Saccharomyces cerevisiae S288C: one gene and its partners. Changing the gene in region 4 together with the main gene of any one other region gives a genetic interaction. Each region holds a gene or a part of one and is shown on either strand. Other genes may lie near its edges. The genes, in order: YTA7, MCM21, HOS2 and GIM4.

Region 1 (6,645 bases), on a different chromosome or scaffold from region 4:
TTTAGTGAAATAAAGCATGGCTTTAGCGTATCTTTGTGGAGTATCTAGTAGACCTTCTCTGTTGACATCTTCACCCAGTTCGGTCAAAATTGTCTTGATAGCGCCTGAAATGCGTTGAATTCGTTCCTTTTCCTCCTCTTCAGTTTCCTCTGCACGTTGTCTTGTACCCACACTTGGCCAAGAAAACCCATCTCTCTCGACAGGAGGGTTTAAAGTGTATGGAGAGGTAGGTCTAATGTTTAACGGGGTTTCATGTCTTTCTATCTCTTGCACTAATTGGATGTTATGCATTTTGGGATGATTGAAAGTATTGGTTCTAACAAAAAATGAGTCACGCACGCACAATCACGATTGAGGATGGAGTCGTATAATATTTTATGAACGGATGCTATATCGATCAGACGGTTGGCACCGTAAAAATAAATGAAAGAAGTTAAAGAAGGGCAAATCAGTCGGATTATGTGATAAGTATGTAATAGACATGTTTGAAAATTAGGAGCATTAAAATATGCTTTTCATCCTACAGTTGTTCGGTCTTTTTTCTTTTCGGTGAGCGACACAGCTTTTCTACTAAGGCCGTACCGGGTCATCCAAATCCTAAATTTTCATGCGCTAATAGCGTTGAGGCTGGGTGATAATTCTGCCTACACCATGACAAAGAGGACATATATCTTCGTCCAACAGGAATCTGGTGCGTCCGGACCCTCTGCATTCACCACATAGCACGCCACCCAGGCGAGGATCCCCTGGTTGAACGTACAAGGGCCTATTACCCTGCCATGCGTTGGTGTACACGGGCATTGTATAGTTTGTGTAATATGTCGGTGCAGAAACAACGTTATTTTGAGGTGCAAACCTCCTCCAACACGACTTGCAAGATCGTCCATTCTTCAACTTGTAACCCGTATTTCCACACTTGGAACAGTAAAACCTGGGAGGGTATGTCCAGGGCAAGCTAGGATTCTGTTGTGGCCTCGGTGGAGGCCGTGGTTGGGAACTTGTAGGCGTATAAGAGTGTGAGTGAGCATATGTTTGGGATGAGGACGTTGCTGGCATTGTCGAGGGCCTTTGGTGGGGTCTTGATTGGTGCCCTTGCGCCAAGTTAGCTGCTGGTCTTGGTGGTCGTGGCGGTTGAGATTGCAATCTCTCCTCTTCCTTGATTACGTCCTCGTAGCTCGGCAGTTCATCATCATGCGTGTCTTTAGACATAACAGTATGGTTTATACTCGTTTTATGGGTATTTTTTGGGACTGCTTAGTTCTTGACTTGAAGCCTCTTTATTCCCTTGATGGAAGTGTCACTATTAAAGATGGAGGCGGAGGCTATACCGTAGAAAATGATATGTTTGTATGTTCTGCTCTCTTCCCTCTATTAAAAGGGGGAAAGAGAAAAATAAATGGAAAAAAGCGATTAAGCCATAGGGAAAACACTCTTGTGGTGGCAAAGCATCAGATAGGCAGGCAGGAGGAAATGGCAGTGAAGTGTCAAACCAAGCATACTTTCACTGGATTGATTTGAAAGTTAATGCTGAGTTTGAGATGTTTTAAAGAGGAACTGTGGTGATCGGTTATTTCTATTCGCTTTTGTGTGCGTCTTTTCATCGTTTGCAGCTGAACTTGTTGAGGCATTAGCCGCTGAGGAATTTTTTTCTGCCTCTATAAACTTGTTTATTATCACTAAAAACGTACCGTCTGTTATTTTGTACGGCCATGTGTGCGAAAAAGGACAAAGTGGTAGCGAAAGAGCAATATTGGGACGAAAAGGAGCAGAAAAGGAACTGCGTAGGGTCTTAAATAAAGCAAAACGTCTGAAGGATCTTGCGTACTCCTTACTAACCCATTGTTGTTTTCGACAGTCATAAAAAGAAGTTACCACGGTCTATTTCTCTCTTCTCGCTATTTATTCACAATTGGTGCAGAAAGAACATGGCACGAAATTTAAGGAATAGACGCGGTAGCGACGTTGAAGATGCAAGCAACGCAAAGGTTGGGTATGAAACACAGATTAAAGACGAAAATGGCATAATCCATACAACAACTCGCTCTTTGAGAAAAATAAACTACGCAGAAATTGAGAAAGTGTTTGATTTTTTGGAAGATGACCAGGTCATGGACAAAGATGAGACGCCCGTTGATGTTACTAGTGATGAACATCATAACAACAACCAGAAAGGCGATGATGAAGACGATGATGTTGATCTTGTATCACCGCACGAAAACGCCAGAACGAACGAAGAGCTTACTAATGAAAGGAACTTGAGAAAAAGAAAAGCGCATGATCCAGAAGAAGATGACGAAAGTTTTCATGAGGAAGATGTCGACGATGATGAAGAGGAGGAAGAAGCAGACGAATTTGAAGATGAGTATTTGGATGAAGACTCGAAGGATAACAACCGTCGGCGCAGAGCGGCCGATAGGAAATTTGTAGTACCAGACCCTGATGACGATGAAGAATACGATGAGGATGACGAAGAAGGAGACAGAATAAGCCATTCGGCTTCTTCTAAACGTTTGAAAAGGGCAAATTCTCGAAGAACAAGATCGTCACGTCACCCAGAAACTCCACCACCGGTAAGAAGAGCTTTAAGAAGTAGGACAAGACATTCGCGTACTTCAAATGAAGAAAATGACGATGAGAATGATAATAGCAGGAATGAAGCGTTAACTTTAGCTGATGAAATTAGAGAGTTACAGGAAGATAGTCCTATCAGGGAAAAAAGATTTCTTCGCGAAAGAACTAAGCCGGTAAATTACAAATTACCACCACCACTAACTGCTAGCAACGCAGAAGAATTTATAGATAAGAATAACAATGCACTTTCTTTTCATAACCCATCACCTGCACGGCGTGGTCGCGGTGGTTGGAATGCTAGTCAAAATTCTGGTCCCACAAGAAGGCTTTTTCCCACTGGTGGACCTTTTGGTGGCAATGACGTAACTACAATATTTGGTAAGAATACTAATTTTTACAACCAAGTCCCATCTGCATTCAGTGATAATAACAACAATAAATTAATACTGGATTCAGACTCTTCCGATGATGAGATATTACCTCTTGGCGTGACACCGAAAACAAAGAAAGAGAACACGCAAAAAAAGAAGAAGAAAAAACCAGAAATTGCAGACCTCGATCCATTAGGCGTAGACATGAATGTAAATTTTGACGATATAGGTGGTTTAGACAACTACATTGACCAATTAAAGGAAATGGTGGCCTTACCACTATTATACCCAGAATTGTATCAAAATTTTAATATCACGCCCCCAAGGGGTGTTCTTTTCCATGGTCCTCCTGGTACGGGTAAAACACTTATGGCAAGAGCGTTAGCAGCAAGTTGTTCTTCTGATGAAAGGAAGATCACATTTTTTATGCGTAAAGGTGCAGATATTTTATCCAAGTGGGTTGGTGAAGCTGAAAGACAACTCCGTTTGTTATTCGAAGAAGCTAAAAAACATCAACCTTCCATCATTTTTTTTGATGAAATCGACGGATTAGCGCCTGTGAGAAGTTCCAAACAAGAACAGATCCATGCTAGTATTGTTTCCACATTATTAGCGCTGATGGATGGTATGGACAATAGAGGCCAAGTCATTGTCATCGGAGCCACAAATCGACCCGATGCAGTGGATCCCGCATTAAGAAGGCCGGGAAGATTTGATAGAGAATTTTATTTTCCATTACCTGATGTTAAAGCACGTTTTAAAATTTTGCAAATTCAGACCAGGAAATGGAGTTCACCGTTGTCAACCAACTTCATTGATAAATTGGCTTTTTTGACCAAAGGATATGGTGGTGCTGATCTGAGGTCCCTATGCACTGAGGCTGCACTAATAAGTATACAAAGAAGCTTTCCTCAAATTTATAGGTCAAATGATAAACTCTTGGTGGACCCTTCTAAGATTAAAGTCAAAGTTAGCGATTTCATGTTAGCTTTGAAAAAAATTGTTCCGTCATCTGCGAGATCTACTGGTAGTTCTCCTCAGCCACTACCTGAATTAATCAAACCATTACTGGCAGATCAACTTAATAATTTAAAGAACAAGCTGGATTATATGCTGAACATTAAAGACACAACTTTTCAGAGAAACACATCATTGCTACAAAATTTCATCGATTATGAAGAATACAGTGGAGAGGAAGAAGAGCATGACAAATATGGAGGAAATGAAGATACATCCAGTTTTAGATCATATGAGTTTTTCGAATCGATGGCGGAATCACAAATTTGTAAACCTCGGTTATTAATAAATGGGCCCAAGGGAAATGGTCAACAATATGTCGGAGCCGCAATTTTAAATTATTTAGAAGAATTCAACGTCCAAAACCTGGACCTTGCCTCTTTGGTTTCGGAAAGTTCTAGGACTATTGAAGCTGCTGTAGTGCAAAGTTTTATGGAAGCAAAGAAAAGACAGCCCTCAGTTGTATTTATTCCTAATTTAGACATTTGGATCAACACTATTCCAGAAAACGTTATTTTAGTCTTATCAGGTTTGTTCAGATCTTTACAAAGCAATGAAAAAATTCTTCTATTATGCTTAGCTGAAAATCTTGATATATCTGAAGTTAAAAATGGTATTTTATCTGATTTTGCTTTTGATAAAAATATCTTTCAACTGCATAAACCATCCAAAGAGAATATAACGAGGTATTTTTCTAATTTAATTGAACTACTGAAAACAAAGCCAAGTGATATTCCCATGAAAAAGAGAAGAGTCAAACCGTTACCTGAATTACAAAAAGTAACTTCAAACGCAGCTCCAACAAATTTTGATGAAAATGGTGAGCCACTGTCTGAAAAAGTGGTATTAAGAAGGAAGTTGAAATCTTTTCAACACCAAGATATGAGATTGAAAAATGTGTTAAAAATCAAACTCTCAGGCTTGATGGATCTTTTTAAAAACAGATATAAAAGGTTTAGAAAACCACCTATTGATGATGCCTTCTTGGTTCATCTTTTCGAACCAGAGACAAGCAATGATCCCAATTGGCAACCTGCATATATAAAAGATGAGAACATGATTCTGGAGGTTTCAACAGGGCGAAAGTTTTTTAACATGGATTTGGATATTGTCGAAGAGAGACTTTGGAATGGCTATTACTCAGAACCAAAACAGTTTTTAAAAGACATTGAACTGATATACAGGGATGCAAATACCATTGGGGACAGAGAACGTGTCATTAAGGCCTCTGAGATGTTTGCCAACGCGCAAATGGGTATCGAAGAAATTTCAACCCCGGATTTTATTCAAGAGTGTAAAGCTACTCGCCAAAGGGATTTGGAAAGGCAGGAACTTTTCTTAGAAGATGAAGAGAAAAGAGCTGCAATGGAATTAGAAGCCAAAGAACAGAGTCAAGAAAATATACTGCAAGAACCTGATTTAAAGGATAACAAGGCTAATGAGTTTGGTGTAGCTGCTGGTAATCAATTGCAAGCTCAGCTGCAAACAACTATCAATACAGCCTCTATCGTTAATAACAGCGAGGTCCCTCAACCAATTGATACCAACCTGTATAAAAAGGAGATTCCTGCGGCAATTCCCTCTGCAGTAGATAAAGAAAAAGCGGTCATCCCTGAGGATAGCGGTGCAAATGAAGAATACACAACGGAACTGATACAGGCCACTTGCACGTCAGAGATAACCACCGATGATGATGAAAGGGCCAGAAAAGAACCAAAAGAGAATGAAGACTCTTTGCAAACGCAGGTTACGGAAGAAAACTTCAGCAAAATAGACGCTAATACTAATAATATAAATCACGTAAAGGAAATTCAATCGGTTAACAAACCAAATTCCCTCCACGAAACGGTAGAAAAAAGGGAACGAAGTCCGATACCAAAAGAGGTTGTGGAACCGGAGCAAGGGAAGAAGAGCGACAAGGAGCTTATTTTGACGCCCGAACAAATAAAAAAAGTATCTGCATGCTTAATCGAACACTGTCAGAATTTTACGGTTTCTCAATTAGAAGATGTTCATTCGTCCGTTGCAAAAATAATATGGAAAAGTAAATCAGCATGGGATAAAACAGGAACTGTCGATGAAATAATAAAATTTTTATCTGAATAAGCAGGAGTCCATAATGTTTATATAATTCTTAAATGTAGTTAGTTCATATACATGAATGTGCACTTTTCTTGAAAAGAAATAGATTTAAAACCACACCTTGTATATATATTATGCTTTTTTCCACTACTTTATTTTAACAGTCACTGTTCTGGCATACGTTTCGGGTAATGACCGAGAATGGAATATGTATTGAACATATTGAAATTAAACATGTTCATAATATCTTCTAACACCATTGGAATTGTGAGAAGTAGATCCGTACCATCAATAGCCGGCTCAAGATGTCAACTGAATACTCTGCTGATTCATCTAAATCATTTATGATTGCAATGCAATCTATGATTGATACTTCACAAACCTTTAATCTAGATAGATCGAAAATCTCTTTACCAGATTTTGATGACGAGCTAAAAAAAGTCCAAAAGGATGAACAAAATCAAAGAACTGAACTAACTGTTCTCTCACAAGATAGAAATGATTGGGATGATATATTTGAGGAGTTTAAAGACATTTCATTTGCTCAACTGCAATCTATAATTGATTCATACAAAACAAAGAATGCAGTTGCAGTATATAAAAA
Region 2 (3,288 bases), on a different chromosome or scaffold from region 4:
TCTAAAATATCTATTATTGTTTTTGAATTTCCAATTTATCGATCATGTTTTCATTTGGACAGGGGGAGAATGCAGTTCTGGTAGTAAAACGACATCAGCTGAAAAGTGCCGTCTAGAAAATGGGAAATGGGATGGTGGGTTTGACATTAGTGGACACTTCTGCTTTCTTGTGAGTATAAGCATGATTCTTTGGATGGAACTTCACTTATTCAGTAGATTTGTTCAAGCTGAAGATATGTTTTGGGTTGTGAATAAGTGGGTACGAGCTTGCCTTGCCATTGTTTGCGCTGTCCTAGTAATTTGGATATGTATTCTCTGGGTTACCGCTATTTATTATCATACTATCTTGGAAAAAGTGTTAGGTTGCCTTATGGGTTTCATATGCCCTGTTTTCATATACCACATTCTACCCAAAATTGGGATACTACACAATTACTTATATCTATGATAAACAGAGAAAATTAGCTCTATCCTCTTTCTATAAAGTATATTTTTGTTAACATTCACTTGAATATTGTCGCGAAAGAATGGTTTAATTTTAATTCCAAATCATCCAAAGAACCGAGCAATGCAATTTCCCATTTACTTTTATTATTTTGACTAAAATCATGAATATCGTCCAATATTGAACATGAAACTATTTCATTTTGTTTTACAAACAACTCGACTTTAATATCCTTCACAAAAAACGAAACCATTGAAGATTCTAAATCTAAATCTAAGTCGTGGATTATCTTCTTAGCTTCTAAGTCCTTAAAAATCTGTCGTCTTTTCTGTACTTCCACAAGTTGCAGGAAGACTCTTTTAGCAAATAAATAGGCGTCATCATGAGATATCACTAGTCCCCCATTGGTGTCATCAAATATACCTTGGACATCAATGAAACTCGGGATTGTATGCTTGAACAGGAACCAACTATTCGATTTGATCCTCTTTTTCAACAATACATAGTGAGGTTTTTCAAATTGGGATGTCCGTTCGCTGAAGACTTCCAGTCGTATTCCCAGCATTTCTCTATCAACAAATATTTCACCGCTAGCATCTTTTATCTTAAGGTCAATAGGGTCCACAAGAGGGAAAAATGTTATACCAAACATTCTATAAACATTTTCCAGGACAATATAATCTTCCAACTCACTTCTATCACTTGTACTAATATCGTCTATTTTTAGTTTTCGCTTTCTTTTTGAAGGTGACGTTAGAATGTCTGTATCCAATAAATCTGCCACCCCAGGATCAAACATTTGATGCTGAACCATTGGCTGGGTCTTTAAAACCCATTCTTGTTCTGGTAAAATTTCCTCATTCTCCAGCTTAGCTCTTTTCTTTGGTTCATACGGTATTGGCGTTGCTGGTATATCCGCTTGCGCCCTTGATATGTCCTTGTCATCTGTCTCTTCCAATTCTGGATGCTCATTAAATAAAAAATTATTCAACTGTGGGAATTGATCGAATAGATCTTCAAATTCTTGTACTATAGGATTAGCGCTCTCCTCATTTTTTCTTTTATCTTTTATCTTCGCTTTGAGCTTCTCACGACTTTCTTCTAATGAATTGACTGTGAAGATTCTACTATGTTAGTGTTCAACTTAATCATTTTTTTAAAAGAAAGAAAATTGTTACAGCCTCAAAATCACATACTTTCACTGAGTAAAGATTCAATGTCCTGCTGTAAATCATCGATTCTACTCATTGCCAGGAGCGTTACTGATAGTTTGAAAGAATTGCTCAAGTAAAGAAATCACATTTTCCCCTCATTATCCATATGGCTTTTGTTTGTTTTTTCTTCAGTTTTGAAATATGCGCGTTTTCTTACCATCATTATAAACTTAGGGAAGATCTATCATAGAATTGGTCGGCCATTACTGGCGATTAGTAAAACAATACATAAAGTTTGCATATTCAATGCGATAAAAATTTAAGACGGCCCAGGTATCGAATCCATGATATAGTGGTTCTTTTATGTATTAGGCTACTATTTATTTAATAACTTCGCATCTATCAAAAGAAAAGACTGACTGTTCACACAATCATATCAATTTGATAACTGCTAATTACTTCCAGCTTAGGTCCCGCCTCTTTACTTTTCCTTTCAATCGCCATCAAAGAGGCAACATAAGAAACCTTTGAAACTGGGACAGCGTATCCTAATAATGCAGATCCTGGCATCCTATATATACTGGAAGCAATTATTTCGCTTAACTTTGTTCTTAAGCCAATCCTTCTGGCCTCACTGATATATTTCTTTTTATAAACTAAAAGATAGTGAGGATAATAAAAAATTTTTTCCAAGAAAGTGGAGTTTTCTTTACCCAATTCAACGTTTATAGGATTTCCGTGCTGTCCACACATCGGACCTGGCCTCAAAATAACTAGCTCCTTTAGCTTATTTGGCAAAGCTTCATCCAAGTCATTTTCTAATTTAGCTTTTATTCTAAAATACTCGAAAGTTTTACTAAGAAAATCATTATTAAAGGCAGTTGTAACCACCAACCTTTTGTTAGTTGTATTCGTGAATTCTTGTGCTAAATTAAAAGGTAAGTAATAGTCAGCAAAGGAACTTGGTACCTGAGTTCTCCGCACTCTAGCTGAGGTGGAGCCCAAAGAGCACACCATAGTGCTAATATCACACAGACTAGGCAAACTTCTACCGGGAACGTAATTTTTGTTGTCAATGTCAAACTTTTCCAGCTTTTGTGTTCCTGAGAATATCCGTGGAAGCAATTTTGGCCAAGTTTCAGATCTGGGGATGATCAATTGCGTTACAGTAAAATTACAAATGATCTCAATACCTTTTTCCTTTCCGCATGCATAATGTAGTGTGTAACTGAACTGTTTCTGATTATAAACAAAAGAATAACCATCTTTTCCCCTCTCTTCAGGCGTATTTTTAATAAATCCTTCTTCAAAATTATCATAACAAAAAGTATTAGGACTAGACGGTACTTTTTCAGTGTCTTTTTCTTTCCTGCTTCTCAAGTAATATCTGCCACCTTGCCAAGTAACTGATCTCATATTTATATAATCAATGGTCTTCATAAATGATTTCTCCTCATTGATGCACCTTCTATTAACACAAAAGACATGTTTATTGAGAACGACATTTCCCTTTATTTCACTTAAGCTATCAAGCTTGCCTTGTAGGTCCGAAACATTTTTAATATATAAATTTATGTCCAACAGGTTCTCTAAAATACCTTTTCCTACTAAACTAGATGATCCAAACAATAAAACGTAATCTGTAAACGTGTTGACACTATAACTCATTTCTGATCAACCTTTCTAGTT
Region 3 (3,826 bases), on a different chromosome or scaffold from region 4:
CCTGCCAACCGTTCTGCTATACCATACAGTTCATCAGGCTTTCTACTAGTCTCTCTGGTCATTGATACGATCAAATCGACGTCAATATGTTTGTTGATCCACTTTGGATTACCCTTTAAGCCCACCAATAAATGCTCCTTAGAATGATTTAACCAATGACCCGTACGACCTGTAACAATTGTTCTACCCAGTTGGTTTGTCTTTATCCATGAAACTTCATTTATCACGTTGTAACCCCAGTTATTCAAAGACTCTTTACCCAATTCTATAGCTCTACCCGTCACCCAAAGAAAAATAATACCTTCATCTTGTAGTTCGTGCAAAGGCAAACCTAATAGTTCAATATCGTTGCAAGTACCGTATGGTAGGTTCATATGGATATTCCATGCAGGATCTGCAATAACTACCGAAAACTTTCCAAGAACCCTAAAATCAAATTTCCGCACATCGCAACGGATCCACTGTGCAGGTAAAGCCTTTTTGATACAATGTGCGGAGCAATTGCCCAGAGTATAAAATGGAATGGAAACGTTTGACCGTATTCTTTTATTTTCACTCGCAGTTTCACGATCAGCTCGCTCTTGCAAGCATGACGGAATATATTGCAGGTAATGAATGTATCGACACGTATTTAATTTATGACAGGTATCCAAATAGGAACAATCTCCTAACGAAATATCAGTTTGTGGTTTGATATTAGGGATAAAGTGAATTTTTGATTGAATGCACTCAATTAATCCTGGGTGATTTTCCTGACATGCGGATATTTTGGACCATTGTAAAGAAACGATTTTGTTATTGACAATGTACACCGAGGTGGACAATAGAGATGCATGCGAATAGTCACTACATATCGGGATGTATTCAATGACCTCGGTCGTGTATTTGGCTCTTTCTTTAGCAAGCTGAAAAGATGATGGTTTTTCCCTCAATAAATTTTGTAAGCGATTGCTCAGTTGTTCACGTGGTAACCCCTGGTTGCTGACGTTAACGTCCCAGTTCAGGACTCCAAGCAGTCTACCCAGCAGTTGGTCTTTTTCCGAATCAGCTTCCGGTTTTGTTGTTAAACTCGACACTTTTTCTTCACATGAAGAACTGGACGATTTTAATGTATAGTAGAAGGCATGGAACTTGTTATAGAGAATTTTCAAGGAAAAAACGTCCAGGTAAACAATTTTTTCTGGCCTATCTGCCACTAATAGATTCTGGTCAAATTGAATGGACTGCGGCGTTGCAAATATAATATCCTGAAGATCATTCCAAAACTGTTCAAACTGTAAGACCTCGTCTTTATCGTTTCTCAACTTCTGCATCTCATCATCGTATCCGCCACTGATGTACAGTGAATACACATCTTTGAGCTGTCCAGAAAGCGGTGCTCTTAGGATGTCATCATAATTCTGGATCAGAAAATGTACTAGTTTATCGTTAATCATAGCCTGCTTACAACTTTTATGAATTCAAGTCTGAATGCCAATTCTTATTTTTTTCGAAAACCCCCAATGCTAACTTATATGGTCCGTTTTCTTTACTGTTATCCATCTCCCTTTCCTATAGCTCCAGCGGTTACCGATCTTCCAGAATGCCGGGGAGATCTTTCTCTTTCTTTGTTTATAACAAGTTTCACAAGCACGAAAGAAAGAACAATACTGTACGCCAAAAGCCGCCTAAAGACGCATATTCCCGTCAATTTATGTGACCGGTACCACTATATACCTAAGGCACCTCTATACCAATGTAGAATGCCCTGTTTATACTCTATATAGAGGATTCTCGATGTTCTTTGGGGCATCGTTAAACGTGATATTCCTACTATGTTACTAAATGTTGAACTGAAAGCATCTTGAAACGATTCTAATCAGTTTTAGGTGTGTCGCCAATGTACAGTTATAGAAAAGACGCCAGATTACTCAAGTACGTTAAAATCAGGTATCAAGTGAATAACAACACGCAACATGTCTGGAACATTTAGTTATGATGTGAAAACAAAGGAGAACGAACCATTATTTGAGTTTAATTCTGCTTATTCTCCCAGGGTATCGTATCATTTTAACTCCAAAGTTTCACATTACCATTATGGTGTTAAGCATCCAATGAAGCCGTTTCGGTTAATGCTAACGGATCACCTAGTTTCCTCTTATGGATTGCACAAGATTATGGACCTTTATGAAACAAGAAGCGCTACCAGAGACGAATTACTACAATTTCACTCGGAAGACTACGTGAATTTTCTCTCGAAGGTTTCACCAGAAAATGCAAACAAACTGCCCAGAGGCACACTTGAAAATTTTAACATTGGAGACGACTGTCCTATTTTTCAAAATTTATATGATTATACAACACTATACACTGGTGCGAGCCTTGACGCCACCAGGAAACTAATCAACAATCAATCGGACATAGCGATAAATTGGTCTGGTGGTCTTCATCATGCAAAAAAGAATAGTCCATCTGGGTTTTGCTATGTAAATGATATTGTGCTTTCTATTTTGAACTTATTACGATATCACCCAAGAATCCTTTATATCGATATCGACTTACATCACGGCGATGGTGTCCAGGAGGCATTTTACACCACAGATAGGGTCTTCACGTTGTCTTTTCATAAATATAATGGCGAATTTTTCCCAGGAACTGGTGATCTGACAGAAATTGGTTGCGACAAAGGAAAACATTTCGCATTAAATGTACCCCTAGAAGATGGCATAGATGACGACTCATATATAAACCTTTTCAAGTCAATTGTAGATCCTCTAATAATGACTTTCAAACCAACACTTATTGTCCAACAATGCGGTGCGGATTCCTTAGGTCATGATCGCTTAGGATGCTTCAATTTAAATATAAAGGCACATGGAGAATGCGTAAAATTTGTCAAATCATTTGGTCTACCAATGCTAGTAGTGGGCGGTGGAGGTTATACACCTAGAAATGTATCACGGCTTTGGACCTACGAGACAGGAATTTTAAATGATGTCTTGCTACCAGAAGACATCCCCGAAGATATCCCATTCCGGGACTCATTCGGGCCGGATTATTCACTTTATCCTATGTTAGATGACTTATACGAAAACAAAAACAGTAAAAAACTACTGGAAGACATTAGAATACGATGTCTAGAAAATATCAGATACTTGCAAGGAGCACCAAGTGTCAGAATGGATGCTGAATGCATACCGACACAAGATATAAGTGCCCTGACAGAAGAAGAGGATAAAATCATTCAAGAAATGAATGAAGAAACAGAAGCAGACAGTTCAAATAGGCTAGAAGAAATGGAAAAAGAAAACAGTGGATTGATTGCCTTTTCATAGTTTAAGAGTTTGCTATTCGGTTAATCTCCCGTTTTTTTTTTTTTTTTTTTTTTTATTTTCCTTTTTTTTTTTTTAATGTTTTTAGCATATTATGTAGAGTGTTAAGGCCTTAAAAGTTATTTGCATCATTGTTAAAAATGACATGTATTGTATAAGAGTTCGGCTCTTCGATGCCGTCAGAAACATTTTTGGAAGGTGCACTCCGTATTCGAGACACTTCTGAAACGGACAAGTCACCAAACTACTCTGAAAACAACAAAAAAAAGCCTTTTCTTATAATTTGAAAGCTTCTCCCGCAGCATTATCGATATCGTGAAACTTCCAAAATCTTTCTTAATTAAACCGGACATCAGTGTCTACAACATTAGAGCAAGTCACTCAGTTCATGTAATACATCTGGACAATTATGTCTAATAAAGAGATAACTTGTATCAAACCGTTTAAAATTATTGCTCTAATTTTATTGATAGTTCTAATAATAAACCTCTCTTATAAGTTATTTCTGAGACGCT
Region 4 (2,741 bases):
CCACATATCGCTGATGATATCCAATTTGAACTAAGACAAGTGGATCCGTACTACCGTCTAACATTGTCGCCAAGCGGAAACGATTCTGAAACTCAGTATTACACCACCGGTGAATTCATCCTTCCAGACCGCCATGGAGTGTTTACATTCCTCACTGACTATCGTAAGATTGGCCTGTCGTTCACTACTGACAAAGACGTTAAAGCTATCCGTCACCTTGCTAATGATGAATACCCAAGAAGTTGGGAAATCAGCAATTCTTGGGTTTATATTAGCGCCATTTGTGGCGTCATTGTTGCGTGGATATTTTTTGTTGTTTCTTTCGTTACGACTTCCTCTGTTGGCAAGAAACTTGAAACATTCAAAAAAACAAACTAATATATGTTTTCATATCCTTTATAATTCTTTATAAATGGCTCACATAAATACATAAGAGTACCTGATTGTGTTTATTTATATTTTTTGCCAAACTAAGTACTGCAATAGATTTTATATATGGTTTAGTTTTTAACGACTTGAATCTTATTGTCTTTTTTCCATTTTTCAAACTCTTTTGCAGTTTGTATTAAGGTTTCTTTCATTTTACTTATTGTACCTTCTATGTTTTCCTTCTTAGTTTCAAGAATAGGCAAACTCGTTTGAACATCACTTTCAACAAGTGCGCCACCTATCATCCTGTAACATTTTCTCGTCGGCTCAGCGTCTTTCAGTGTTTTTATGACTATAGTGTGTTCATCTTTGTCATGACCTAATTCTATGATTTTTGTTTGCAATTCTTCCAAAATTTGTTTGTATTCATTATATTTTGCTTGAAAGACTATACACAGAGAAAACACAAAGATTGTTAGTAAGATAAAATTGGCTACATGCATTTATTAAAACCCAGAGATCGAAATTTTGCATACCGTTGTTCCTTTGTTCCATAGCTGTAATATAGTTCTCCACTTCTCATGAATGAGTTTTAAAGATTAGTGAGTTTAGGTGATGAATTCTTTTTTTTTTTTTTTTCATTTACTTCCAGGCGGCAGCGTTCGCGATTTTATCTAAACTTACGTCAACACCACTAATATAGAGTTAAGGAACATACAAGTAGGATTTAAGGTTAGTTTATAATGTGTGTTCATTTACTTTTCTTTATCGCCCCCTTGTCATTTTGCCTGGGGTGAATTGATCCCAGCGAGTATATAAAGGCACCAAAAAAGACTAGGTAGACCCCGATGTAGCCAGTATATGACAAGTTATTATCGAAAAGTCGGACGCTCAGTAAAAGACTTATAAATTTTCTTACAAGTAATGTTATGGAAAGTGTCAGAGCGTTTGTTTTACTGGCGAGGATATTAACACCCTTGACGCAAAAATATTGTGTTAACACATTGAAAAGAAGGAGAGTTTCTTCTCGCGGGACTAGAATCTTCCCTCCAAAATTTGAACACAATATTCTTTCAGACTTTCTCATCACTCGATATTCGTGAATTAACTGCTTTCGACTAAATAGAAAGAGAGGTAATGATAAAAAATGACTGTAAAAGATATTCTCCTTCCAATGCTTTCCATATTTTTGATACGTACGTTCATTGTATGCTGAAAGTAAAGATGATGTGAATGATGAAAGTACTAGTATACAAATGCCAAAAATAAAAGTGAGATCTACAGATTGGTCACTTCCAATTTTCCACGCTTGCAGTTTCAAATCTTGGTACCGAAAATCAGCATCTTTGAATAATGAGGCAATTATAGCTCCAATGGTTAAAAATAGTGTTGATAAAATCTGAATCTTTGTATATTTCCTACCATTTAATAACCAGCATGTAAACATGGTTATTACGGTTCCGAAGCATCTGAAAACGATATGAATCGGAATGGATATGTTGTATTTAAATACGTTATTATTCGTCGTAGATGAAATATAAAATAAAACGACAGTAATGACATAAACGTGAAGTGGAGTTTTCAGAGGCTTGAAGTAAGGGAAAGGTTGATGAACATCCAGAAATTCGGGGAGTCCCTGACATGTAACAAATAAAAATTGACAAAAAGTAATGAGATTATTAATGCTGCCTGTTTCGTTGCTCATTAAGGTTTCAAATGTAATAACATTGGAGCAACAACCTCCGAACACTAGAGCGAATGCTTTTAGTGAGTTCCACATTTTTTAGATTCTCCCAATCCAATTACTTCCCTGCTTATTCTCAATTGAATTCTCTTCATTTTTTCTAACTGGAGTGCAAAGCACTGAATATTTTTACTTTGCGTCGGGAGCGATTGCTTCCTTAAAATATGACAATGAATATATAAAGGAAGAGTATGCGTAACCAAACCATAAGAAAGGCAGAGAGTGCCTAGCATGGTAGCAGACTTAACTAAAGGTATACTGAAATGGAAATCAAGAATAGAATTTGATGCCGTTGGAAGCAGTTCCTATTACGAAGAGTTAAAGGGCTTACCTCCCCTTGCATCCCATAAAAAATTAACACAGGCTGCTATCTTCAATAGCACGAAGTATGAGTTATTACAAGTAAAAAAAGACATTCTGTCCATCTATGAAGTTGTAAGTAGGGACATTGACGAGGAACGCAATCAGATGCAGCAAATTGAACTTCAACTTAAAAAGTCGTTAAAAAAGGTAGAACATAGTTACAAAAACGTCTTAAAGCAAAGGGCTTCTACTAATTGTATCAATGGAAATGATCGTCTATTGGCCAATGCGGAAAAAAAAATTGGCTCGTTAAATGAAGAACTCG

What was found.
Region 1: mutations in GIM4 (region 4) and YTA7 together harm fitness more than expected from each alone (negative genetic interaction), as found in Saccharomyces cerevisiae (5 studies listed by BioGRID, with this or other methods).
Region 2: mutations in GIM4 (region 4) and MCM21 together harm fitness more than expected from each alone (negative genetic interaction), as found in Saccharomyces cerevisiae (5 studies listed by BioGRID, with this or other methods).
Region 3: mutations in GIM4 (region 4) and HOS2 together harm fitness more than expected from each alone (negative genetic interaction), as found in Saccharomyces cerevisiae (6 studies listed by BioGRID, with this or other methods).

The regions. Positions count from the first base shown.
Region 1 is NC_001139.9:1,025,445-1,032,089, forward strand, and holds YTA7 (chromatin segregase YTA7), read left to right. Parts: upstream 1-1,925; coding exon 1,926-6,065; downstream 6,066-6,645. Other genes in the region: FOL2 (GTP cyclohydrolase I), read right to left, coding at 1-291; HUA1 (Hua1p), read right to left, coding at 613-1,209; SLH1 (RNA helicase), read left to right, coding at 6,347-6,645. UniProt on the Saccharomyces cerevisiae protein: Functions as an ATP-dependent nucleosome disassembly factor that helps evict canonical histone H3 from the 5'-end of genes upon their induction.
Region 2 is NC_001136.10:1,102,163-1,105,450, reverse strand, and holds MCM21 (Mcm21p), read right to left. Parts: upstream 1,694-3,288; coding exon 1,642-1,693; intron 1,559-1,641; coding exon 504-1,558; downstream 1-503. Other genes in the region: YFT2 (Yft2p), read left to right, coding at 1-448; HIM1 (Him1p), read right to left, coding at 2,023-3,267. UniProt on the Saccharomyces cerevisiae protein: Component of the kinetochore, a multiprotein complex that assembles on centromeric DNA and attaches chromosomes to spindle microtubules, mediating chromosome segregation and sister chromatid segregation during meiosis and mitosis.
Region 3 is NC_001139.9:139,856-143,681, reverse strand, and holds HOS2 (histone deacetylase HOS2), read left to right. Parts: upstream 1-1,955; coding exon 1,956-3,314; downstream 3,315-3,826. Other genes in the region: IME4 (mRNA (N6-adenosine)-methyltransferase), read right to left, coding at 1-1,436; YGL193C (uncharacterized protein), read left to right, coding at 1,455-1,766; YGL194C-A (uncharacterized protein), read left to right, coding at 3,721-3,826.
Region 4 is NC_001137.3:146,359-149,099, reverse strand, and holds GIM4 (tubulin-binding prefolding complex subunit GIM4), read right to left. Parts: upstream 925-2,741; coding exon 906-924; intron 818-905; coding exon 501-817; downstream 1-500. Other genes in the region: WBP1 (dolichyl-diphosphooligosaccharide-protein glycotransferase), read left to right, coding at 1-378; YEA4 (Yea4p), read right to left, coding at 1,121-2,149; VAB2 (Vab2p), read left to right, coding at 2,345-2,741. UniProt on the Saccharomyces cerevisiae protein: Binds specifically to cytosolic chaperonin (c-CPN) and transfers target proteins to it. Binds to nascent polypeptide chain and promotes folding in an environment in which there are many competing pathways for nonnative proteins.